Oryzias latipes: one gene and its partners. The protein of the gene in region 3 purifies or fractionates together with the protein of the main gene of each other region. This does not show direct contact. Links are inferred from orthologs where the notes say so. Each region holds a gene or a part of one and is shown on either strand. Other genes may lie near its edges.

The links. Proteins that work in one complex are often made in the same cells at the same time.
Region 1: the proteins of mtmr3 (region 3) and aurka purify together in Homo sapiens (affinity purification with mass spectrometry; 3 studies listed by BioGRID and IntAct, counting the BioPlex papers as one, with this or other methods). This does not show direct contact. The link is inferred for Oryzias latipes from reciprocal best matches to the Homo sapiens genes MTMR3 and AURKA.
Region 2: the proteins of mtmr3 (region 3) and plk1 purify together in Homo sapiens (affinity purification with mass spectrometry; 4 studies listed by BioGRID and IntAct, with this or other methods). This does not show direct contact. The link is inferred for Oryzias latipes from reciprocal best matches to the Homo sapiens genes MTMR3 and PLK1.

What each region holds. Positions count from the first base shown.
Region 1 is NC_019863.2:11,351,781-11,355,532, forward strand, and holds the start of aurka (aurora kinase A), read right to left. Parts: upstream 2,808-3,752; 5' UTR 2,459-2,807; intron 2,148-2,458; 5' UTR 2,145-2,147; coding exon 2,079-2,144; intron 1,570-2,078; coding exon 1,224-1,569; intron 1,145-1,223; coding exon 1,108-1,144; intron 1,017-1,107; coding exon 825-1,016; intron 1-824. UniProt on the Homo sapiens protein: Mitotic serine/threonine kinase that contributes to the regulation of cell cycle progression.
Region 2 is NC_019859.2:22,726,724-22,730,475, forward strand, and holds the start of plk1 (serine/threonine-protein kinase PLK1), read right to left. Parts: upstream 2,445-3,752; 5' UTR 2,043-2,444; coding exon 1,680-2,042; intron 1,335-1,679; coding exon 1,166-1,334; intron 981-1,165; coding exon 836-980; intron 748-835; coding exon 654-747; intron 564-653; coding exon 338-563; intron 232-337; coding exon 189-231; intron 114-188; coding exon 16-113; intron 1-15. UniProt on the Homo sapiens protein: Serine/threonine-protein kinase that performs several important functions throughout M phase of the cell cycle, including the regulation of centrosome maturation and spindle assembly, the removal of cohesins from chromosome arms, the inactivation of anaphase-promoting complex/cyclosome (APC/C) inhibitors, and the regulation of mitotic exit and cytokinesis.
Region 3 is NC_019867.2:25,608,793-25,612,544, reverse strand, and holds the start of mtmr3 (myotubularin-related protein 3), read right to left. Parts: upstream 2,159-3,752; 5' UTR 2,139-2,158; coding exon 2,047-2,138; intron 1,814-2,046; coding exon 1,753-1,813; intron 395-1,752; coding exon 338-394; intron 1-337. UniProt on the Homo sapiens protein: Lipid phosphatase that specifically dephosphorylates the D-3 position of phosphatidylinositol 3-phosphate and phosphatidylinositol 3,5-bisphosphate, generating phosphatidylinositol and phosphatidylinositol 5-phosphate.

The DNA.
Region 1 (3,752 bases), on a different chromosome or scaffold from region 3:
ACTAAAATCCCTAATGTCAGTCGTAGACGCGTCCTTAGCTCCTCGCTTTAGGACTACAACTGTTATACCAGTAGTTCAGAAAAATATTAAGAGCAAATTCTGAAACAAAACTCATAGCAAAAATCATAAGAATTATGGTGAAGTCGACCACACCCACAACGGGAGCCTCCAGCAGGTCAACCACGGGCTTTGCGCCTATTATTGTCGTTGAGATTGACTCAAACAAAAGAAACAAACAGTTCCTACTGGTTAATATTTGAAACTTACCCAACATTTTGCTTTGTAACATTTGTGAATAAGTAGGAAGAAGAAAACAGACTGGTGATATTGTGACAAACACAAACAGATCATGTCTATGAGACTTTTTCTACTTCTAATTGCAGCTCATCCTATAGTTTTCATGAGCAGATGAGGTTAGAGCCCGGGCTGCTTAGACTTCTTTGCTTATGTAGAACAAAAAGCACGAAAAGACTTGGAACGAAGATCTCCTGTTTTTTTTTTTTTTAAATCTAACAAGCTTCCATAGTAACGCCATCATAACCCATTTTAAAAAGTTCTCTCTCAAAGTCGGAATCTCCTGAATGAGTAGTATTGGATTTTGCGTCACCCCCACATTGTATAAGCTTTCTCTATAAACAGTTATGTAAATGACAGCAATATTGTTTTTGCAATTTTGACTGTGAATCTGTTTGCTGTACTGGAGTTTGTCAGTCAATGATTGTAAGGTACAAACACTAGATGGGATCAGCCCCAAAATCATAATCAGGTTGAGATTTGTGTCTGCAAATACTTGTTTGGGATGAGATCAGGTTAGCCAGAATTACCTGAGATGTGACTGGATTTCCACCTCTCGTCTCAACTGATGCTCCACCCCAGCCCTCTCCAGTTGCTTCTTGAAAAGAACCTTCAGAGCCAAGATGAACTTGGTCTGTCGCTCTCGGGCGAGGTAGACGTTGCCGAACTTTCCCTTTCCTAAAGGACGACCAATGTCAAAGTCTTCTAGGCTCCATCGCTTCCTGTATGAGCACAACAGTCTGGTTACAGCCTTCCAGAGAACATTTTCAGGCTTATACATGCATGATAAAAAATAGTCTGTACTTGACATACTTGGATGTAGAGCCCTGCTCAGTTCTTGAGAGCTTGCCTGATAAAATATAATATATATGTATAAATAACTTATTTTTAAACGTGAGAAATGTGTTTAATTCAGTGGCATAACCTACTCTGTTGCTTGTCTGCTTTTATGGGTTCCGACGGTGGCTTGGCCAAATCTGGATTTGCACCGAGAACCTGAGTCTTTGGTTGGTTTTGCTGGGACGTAGGTTTAGACGGTGGAGCATGATGTGCATTCAGAGTAGCTGGATTCACATTCTGATCGCCAGAATGTGAGGACTTGTTGGTAAAAGCGACTTGAGATACCGGTTTCTGATGACTAACAGGTCGCTGGATACGCTGAGGTCCATTTGACACACTGAGAACTCGCTGATGCGAGGTGGGTGTGACTATTGCCTTGGGAACCATTTGATGCTGTTGAGACACAGGAATTCGTCGTGGTCCATCACTGCCGGACTGCAATTAAGAGACCAGCAAATAGAAATTTTAACATTTAATTCAAGGAAATGCAGCTTTACATATTGCTACATCAGTATTACTTTCTAACCTATATTACCATTAGGGGTTGTAGATTCATAGTTCATTCTTGTTTGATTTGAATGATTCGATCTGTTTCACTGACCTACAATGGATCCCAGACATCTTTAACCAAAATTCAACCAGTGTGACTCAGAGATACACATAAAAATAATATATATGGAACAGTATTAGAAGGTTCTATCACACCGTATAATCATGTTTTTGCTAAATCCAAAGTGTTTCCACACATTTTGTAATGATGGCTTGATCACGTGCGTTGTCCGCTGTGATGTCACTTGGTCATTTATATTTCTCAATCCAAATGGTATTTTCCAACATTGAATATAAATCAATCCCTAATTACTATACTATATATGAAAATGCAGTGAAGGGCATAAAAAAGTTAGACATTTAAACTTAAAAAAAGAAAATCAGTCTGACTTCACCTGCTTTATTTCAGGCTTTTGCAGTTTCACACTCTTTGTCACCTTGAGTGAGGGAGAAGGATCCATTTCCTGAAGGAAAAAGTTTATATTATTATAAGTATATAATTCAAATAGCGTATCAGATGAAAACACGAGGAAATTATAGGCTTAGGTCCGCAATGCTAACTGTAGTACTTACACAGACAATGATCAAATATAATCTTAGTGAACAAACTATGCACGTAAAGGTAAAACATTTATAAAAGTAAATACTTTAAGTCAAGTTAAAAGAGCTGATGTTCTCTTCTCCAGAGGCTAGCTAACGTTAATGAACAAGTGCTTCTGTTAGCTTAGCAACTATCATACAAACTATTTTTAATGCAACGTCTGACATAACTTACCCAAATGTACTACTGCACAATGATATACAGCAACCACGGCACGTTAAAATATCCAGAATTAATCAGTCCAATACATTCAAGAAGAAAAAAACCATGCCCACGTAGATGCTACGAAAGCTAGCTAACGAAAGATAATTCCTTTTGTCTAAATATAAACGCAAAGTCCAGTGAAACGTTACGAACAGACAACTTGTTTGGACTGAAAGCAAATAAATATATGCGGCAAAACTAGTTCAAAACACCTAAAAGGTTTAAACTACAGAGATGTCTGTGACCACACGATTCTTTTCCTGAAACGCTGATTAGAAATTTCAAACGTCCCTGTTTTAACCTTTAAAAAAAATCAGCTGGTCTGATTGGCTGACAGAATGCCCAATTTCGGTTTCCTATTGGCTAATACAATGTATCGAATGGGCGGCAGGAACGTCATGGGTAATTGGAGTTCCAAAGCACTAGATGGCAGAGCGCAGGTTCAGTTCGGTCAGTTTAAACAATTTACGAAAACAAACAAATAAACGCAAAAAAGATAAAATTAAAACTATCTCAAAACGGTAATAGCTATTTAGAAAGAAAAAAACACGAGGGGAGAAGTTTAACAGACCAAAGTAAATGGTTGGTCAAGCTCATTCTGCGCCAAAAAAAAGGGAGGGGGGGGGGGGGTTATAATTCAACACCCGTCCAAGGTTTTCTTTGGTTACTCACATAAAATTGATTAGGATAATGATGACGCATGGGCTAACTAAATACTTTTTTATTTTGTTTTTTAAGACACTTGCGGCCCCTTGTGTTTATAATGAGTAACTACATCTCCCCCATTCTTGAGGCCTTCAGATGAACGAATATAATTTGATTTTTAATTCAAAAGTACCCAACTAGCTCACAAAAATTAGTTTAGTCTCTATTAGTTTAGTCTCTCTTTTCCATAATAGAAAACGTCTTTCAATAAGTGGTTAAAATTTTTAGTCCCAAGTGTTTGTTTTCTCAGTTATATTTTATTATGAAAATATTTAAAGCAAAACCCACAGAACTCTCATGGAAAATAAAATATTGAGGGGAAGCTTTTAAGTTAAAATATTTTACTTTTATTCTTATATTCATTTTTTTTCTCCTGTTCACAGGTAACATTTCTTTAGTTGTACATTCTTTTTTGATGTAAAGACTAGCAAGAAATAAACAGTTTTTCTAAATAAATACATTCTTTAAAGTTTTAGAAATATTGTATCAAAGAAGGCGTCTACAATACCATAGAACAGTTCATACAGTTACAGCGGCTTCATTGTGCAGCACCTGCAGC
Region 2 (3,752 bases), on a different chromosome or scaffold from region 3:
GGCGGCTGCTCTCACCTTGCCGAATGACCGCCTTCTCTGAAGGCTTGGCAGAGATGATGCTGTTGAGCTGCTGCAGCATGTCCTTCAGGTAACATTCTTCTGGCTCCGCCTCTCTGCACACAAAATTCCCATTTATCATTTTTGATCAAACTACGACGCATGTTTTAGACCTTAGTGTGATGTCTCACAGTGGAGCAGGCTCGTCTTTCATGTCCACCTTCTCTGTGCCGGCTGAGAAAAAAAATATATAAAAAAAACCTCCATCAATATCACTGTTGATTAACTGCAGACTTTCATTATCAGTGCACCAGTTTTGGGCAATTGTTGGGTTTGTTACCTTTGTTGTTTATGGCAGTCAGGGGGCGCCTCTGGCTGAGCTCTGCAGCCATGGAGGGGGCAATGGAGAACCGCGGGGGCACAGTGAGACAAGTGGTGGGCAGCCGCAGGGGGACGTATCCCGATGTGAAGAACTCATCCGTCTGCAGGTCAGTGATGGTGGGCCTCTGGGCAGGATCGGCATGCAGCATCCTCTTGATGAGAGCCGAGGCTGACGGGTTGATTTGCTGCAGCATTCAAGTGAAGTGACGGTAAACTTAAGATTTTCTTTCACCAACTATTACGTACATTTAGGGATTAACGTCAGCTCTTCTCACCCAGGGGATGGTGTAATTGTTCTTCTTGATCCGGTTGTATGTGTCTTTCAGGCATGAGGTTTCAAACGGAGGCTTGCCGACTAACAAAGTGTACCTATGAGAGGATACAGGAAGGAAGTTGAGTATCCAGAATCCTGTGGAATGACACTCTTCCCCACTCCACTGTGGGTTTACACACTTACAATATGCACCCAAGTGACCAGACATCCACTTCATAGCTGTGGCCTTTCTTGCACAGCACTTCCGGAGCGATATAGTTGGGCGTTCCACACAAGGTCTTCTTCCGTTCACCATCAAACTCAATCTTTGTGGCCAAACCAAAGTCACCTAGCAAAAAAGGAAAGAAAGAAATGATCAGCGTTTAATCTGAGTAAAGGATATTAAGAAGCCAAATATGGGTGTTAACAAATTGGAGCTGGAAGTTCTCAACAAGGAAGTTATGGGAGCATATCAAGAACATGGGTGTGCCCGTTTCTTTGTCACTACACCGACAGGTTTCCTGCTCTCCATACCTATCTTGACTTCCATGTCGTCGTTGAGGAAGATGTTCCCCAGTTTCAGGTCTCTGTGGATGACCTTGTTGCTGTGCAGATAATGGACCCCTTTCAGCAGCTGGGTCATGTAGTAGCGAGCCTCCGGCTCCGTGACCGCCTTCCTGCGCTTGTGCAACTCCAACAGGGACTTGAAAAAGGACAACAGTTCTGGTGAGCGGCTGAACTCAGTGGAGGAAAATGGAGGCTGGGAGAGCATGAACAAGCTGGATGAAGTGAAGTGGCACCTCAAGAAGTGTTAAAAACAACACGTGGAACAACACAAAGGGGAAAAAGAATTTAGATATCTCTATAGTTTTAAATTACAAAAAGTTACTGGTTTAGGATAAGTAACAGTGATTTAAAGCAGTGATCAGGGGATTTGAGTCTCCCAGCACTATGCCAAAGGAGGGGGGGGGGGGGGGGTAACGGAAGAGGCCACATTGTTAACCGTTGGCCTTCATGTATTTTCATTTAGAGTTCCCAAAATCCTCACCCTTCTCCTGCAGATCTCCAGGACCACATAGACAAAGTCGTCGTCCTCAAAGAAGCCGTGGAAGCCCACGATGTTAGCATGATTGAGGCTCTTGTGAATGGAGATTTCCGAGCTCATCTTCTCCCTTTGGTGCTGCTTCAGGATCAACGACTTGGGCACTATTTTGCCAGCGAAAACCTGCTTGGTCTCCATGTCTGTAATTTCGAAGCATTTGGCGAAGCCCCCCTTGCCGAGGAACCTGCCCTTGGAGTATCTCCTCAGGGTGCGGGGATCCACCAAAACCTCTGGGATTTCTTTCAGAGGAGCCGATTTTGGGTCGACGTGTCCGGACGGCTGCGCCGGCTTTGCGATAGCAGCACTCATGGTGTACTTTAAAAGTGCTCTTTCCGCGTTAATAAAACTCCAAAGAAGTCGAAACGCAAAAGTTATTAAACAAGGGCTAAAGTGTTGTTTAACCCTCCAACTCAACCGACGTTAGTTTAGCCTTCGAAGCTAACTTTTTCTACGCCTCAATTTACAGCAAATACTAACAAACGATCTAAACCGCAAACGTTGACTAACATTTAAAGGCCGACAGGTCCCAAGATTAAATAAATTAATTAAAAAAAAAACCGGAGGCAGAATTCTTGCGCAGACTTCCCCGGCAGCGGTTGCCTTGTCCCGTTCTGCCTTTTCGATAACAAGTGTCTCGTACAAATTTAAAATGCTGGCTCGGTCGTTTTGGCGATCGTTGATTGGTCTGCTAGATTTGAATTCCACAGCGTCACAGCAAAGCATCTTGGGAACATGTGTACAAAAATAGCCAATCAGGAGTAGAGTAGAAGGCCTCCAACAATCTGATTGGCTGAAAGGCTGTTTTTGTTTCCTCGAGAAAGACGGATGGGAAATGTAGTCGGGAAAAGGATTTAATTTCGAAAGTGTTTTGTTATTAGCGTTATCCGAATTATGGCCACTCCTGATCCAATATCGATCATTTAGGTTCATGTTATTAGTTGAACACTAATATTACATGAATGCAGAGGATCATATGAAGTTTATTTAATCTTTGTTAGACTATGAGTTTTTTATGAATTTGTCATTTTCACTTTTTGGATGGATTTTTATTGACAGACATTGTTGGTTCAGGTTATACACTTTTATTTTTATTGATTGCCATGCTGACTGTGTACACTCATCTTGCGCCACACTTCCTTGAAAAACTTTCAACTTTTCATAAATTGAGAAACATGTGAGTGTTTGCTTTCTTCTCATGTTTTCTTTTAATTTCTACTCTGTTAGAACAACCATTAAATACTGTTTCAAACCAAATTCTCAGACAGTGCTATCGGCATTCTAAGTGTATCATTGTAATCATTGAAAAGCCACAAATGCCCTCTGTAGATACCAAAAGGAGTTCATTCAGTAATTGCAGTGGTTGAATAATTTTCAGGTCTAGAAATGTCCACTATGGGGACAAGTTTTTATTGCCGGTAGTGAGGAGGATATTTTTCACTCTAGATTGGTTGAAATTCAAAAAGGATTTTGAGCAAAAAAGCCTCAGGGTTTAACTTGAAAGATTATTTATGCTGGAAAGCATAAAATGGTGAGAAGCAGTAAAATATAGTGTAACAAAAGCAATATGAGAAAGTAAACCTGCAGTAATGGTTTAATCTGTCTTGCCACACTAAAAAAAAGTCACATCGTTTTTGTGATACCAAGATTATTGTTTATTTGACAAGATGTTAACATGATGAAATTAAGGACTTTCACTTTCTGATCATGATGGTTAACCTGTTGATGCCTATACTTAAATAATAACTCCAGAATACATGAAGATTCCCAATTTTTTACATTTGGATATTGACTGTACTGTTTGGTTTCAACATGCCAAGCTAAAAAAAAAAAAAAAAGTTGTTTTTCCCCTAAGGTTTTCATTTCTTTTTTTCTTTATCCACCACTGCATGGTAGTTGGGGTAACCAGTTAATAGATTGCTGGTTGCTGGCTGATCAACATTTTGTGGTAAATTAATTTGGGTTAAGAGTGTAAAGGGGGAATGGTTATGGGACACTAACTCAAAACACAGCTTGTTGAGG
Region 3 (3,752 bases):
GTAACAAACAGCTGACACCACAGAACAGCCTAAAGAGACTACAAACTCTTGCACAAGCTGGGATTTCATGAAAAAGTTCTAGATCAGGGCTCGTGTCACAATGTAATCACAGAAATTACAACCTTACAGGAGAAACTGAAAGTTATCTTGCTTTCACAGCAACCTTAAAGGACCTTTACCACTGTTGGATGTGACGCAACAGTCTACTTCCAGATAAACAGTGCTGATTAAAACTGGTTTAAGGTCAGTTGATTTAGAAGTCCGATTTTGCAGACAGCACATTGATCAAGAAACACAGAAGTCATTATTCCAAAGTATAGAAAAGTGGATACTTTACCATGGCCCCTGGGAAGGAGTGTGGGTCACCCAACAACAGATGCTGATCTAAATCAGTCTTTAAAAAACAAAACACAAAAATAAAATTACTTACAGTAATTGTTTGCACAAAATGTTTAAACTATTAGAGAAAAGCACAGATACTGTAGCATTACCCAATTTGATCTTTATCCACAATCCTTAAATCACCTTTTCACCATCTAGTCTGAGTTGAGGTTTCAAAAATCCAATACTAGCCTGATGCTGAGAATGCGACACTGACTGATTATATTGACACACATATCAAGAGGCTTTTTTTCTGGCTCCTAAGAATACTGACGGATCAATGCATTTTAAATTCTGAGTGGAGGCAAAACTGGAGGTCACCTGGGAAAAGCATCTGTATTCACAGATCTAACAAACAAAGAACAGAGATCAACCTCATTTATTTAAATAACAGCTGTACGTAAAACATAATAAAATTCGCCAACAGAACATAAAGATTTACTTTTAGGGAAGTCGTCACTAACAGCAAACATTCAAGGACCACCAGGGACCTTCTGAAACTGCAACAAACCAGCAGCTACTCAGGATAAGATTGTGGTGTATCCAGGCAAGTTTATTTCTCAACCACAAATAAGACCAAGAATTTGAAATCAAATTTAGGTTAAAATGAATGGAAAGTGGCTTCAGTGCAAACAAATGCAGGTTAGTCAAGATAAGATGTTAAACGTGTTCGAGAAGTCGTTCTGCGAGACAAGAATCTTTGAGTCTCTGAGGCCGTAGACACTTCCGCTTCGACAGCAACCAGAAGTTGGTTTTTATTTCGACATTTGGTGACTTAAATTAGATTCAGACAGTGATGAGTTAACCTTCCGTGAATCCCACATTAATACATAAATCTAAGTTAAAATAGATTTTCTTTATGTTTAAAGTTGAACCAAATTTTAAAAATAAACAAGAAATTAATAAGAATCAAGGCGTTTTACAGTCCGTCAAAAGACTATAATTATTTGAAAAATGTAAAGCAGAAACAAAAGAAACTAATTTCAAGTAAAACATGTTTAGGCCCAGTGATATACCTGACTCACGACTGGATAAATGTCTGTATTAGAGCACACTGCTCAGAAAAACTAAAGTCAGTGAGAAAAGTGATCATAAAAAATAGAAAACACAGCAACAACCTAAGCAAACTCTGCTCAATGCATTGGTTCTGTGATAACTCAGAATTCAAGAAGGTCTTCCATTGAAGTCATTTTGTATCTGCTGACCTTTTGCATAATATTTTTTACATATTTAACAGCATTTACTTTCTATATAAAAAGGCTTTACAACAGCAGATATAACCTTCTAGTACAACCTCTGTGTAAACATTTACATCACGTGTGAAATTGTGGTGAAAACAGTAACTTCACATGATGGCAGTTTCTGACTTACCCACAGACAATCACTAAGCAAAGATGATCCTGTTTGGAAATTCAAAGTAGGACAAGAACATCTGCAAAATAAAAAATAACATATTTTTACCATCAAACATTGCTCTTGATCACGCAAAGTTGTTCTTGACATATATACACATGAAACTGACTAGCCCTACAGACACTTTAATGATATATTTTTTTTAAATGATATTGTCTGTGGTCACTTTGCATTCCAGCTGATATATAATGCAAAATCATATGCAAAATTGAAAAGTGCCAGCTGTAACTCCACATCAGTTTAGGCACTTACTTCAGGTTGATGGGAACTGTAAAAACAAAAGTAAAAAAAAAAAATGCATGCACATATTTAGAACTCCTAATGATTTCTTTTAGGTGGGACATAAATATAAGTATAAAATCAGCCACTTACATTGTTAATAAGTTCAACAGGTAAGATTAAACATCTCATTTTAGAAGAAGCAAGCTGTTACATGTCCCAGCTGAGCAGCAGCCATGGCAGGCAAATAAAAAGAGATATAACTGACCAATAAACGGTTAAAAAACGTCGGCCACTCTTGGAGATGCTGAAATCTGATCCAAGGGGGTCACTGAATCAGTGGTTTCAGCGCACCTGAGTAACAGTGCAGATGCATATGCAAAAAAAACCAAATACTTATATGGAAAAATATAAGAAACAATAAGGCTTTTTTTTTTTTTTTTTGCTTAGCTTGGTCTTTCAGTGTTGTGTATGGAGGCCAAGGAGGGTCAAAACTGACTGGGCCACCCTGCTTTTCCTGCTGCTGCTGCTACCTGATAAAGTATATCTTGCCAGCGCACGGCTCTGTTTACGACAGCAGGCTCATGACCCACGGATCAAGTCTGGCTGCGAGTTCACTCAATCACGCACGGACGGCTTAGCCCGTTAGAGCCTTAACCCTACTCGTGTCCCGTGATAGACCGGCATGCACTGCGGGCTTTGGCAGTACAGACTAACTTTTCGTTTAGGTTTAATATTCACTGACGTGGATAGTAAAAATGCAGCAAAACGAGGCTAGGTAGGTAAGCAGCGCGACCCCCATATAAACAGCTGCGCTCTAAAAAGTCTAAAAATTGGGTTTGTTAGCTTAAAGTTGCACTGCAAGGCCAATAGTATGCATTTGACAATAATAATGTGAATATGTGTTGAAAATAATACGCAATATTAAGACTTGCAGGCTAACGCTAAGATAAACACGAATTTCCTTTGGGTTACTTTTTATTTTTAACTGACGCCAGAAGCATCAAAGTACGAAGAGTAACATGCAGTGACTAATATTAAAGCTCTTCCACTTTTTTATTTAAATGTATTTGTTAAGGGTTCACATCGGCAGTCAACATTTTAGCGCCTTAACATCCACGAACAAACAGTCTCCTGGAAAAGTACTGTTAACGGCCTAAGACTTGGTCAAAGGGTTCGTTTAGGCTGCAAACAGTCCTAATAAACACGTCCATGTGGTGTGGCAATCTCTTAGCTGTCGGTATTTGGCATTAAAAGCTTTTCCACGGTCTAGCCAGTAAGCTGACTAGTTAGCATTAGCCGGTTGTGCTAGCGCGGCTCTGCAACTGTTTTTGTTGTTATGAGATGGAGGGCGGACCCCAGAGCGGAGGCCTCTGTCAAAACACACAGAGACGCGCTCCTGCCGGCGGACTCACCAGAGAACGGAGCGACGTCGAGTACGAGGCGAAGCAGTCATCCGAAGCCCATGCAGTAACAGAACAGCAAGCCAATCTCCATCAAATAGGCAGTAGTCATATCCGAGCCGACGCTAGCTTCACGGCATCCCCTTCCAGCTCGGAGTCGTCGTCGCCATCGCCGCGAATTCTCCAGCCCGACAGCTTACGTTGGAGTGACGCCATCACGCTCTGCGAGAGGGAGGGGCTCAGATGTACCACGCGGTGCGATCATGTAAACACTGGATGGAGATGATAATACAGTACTACGTCGAGAAAGCATGGCGCCATTTAAATAACCTCCAC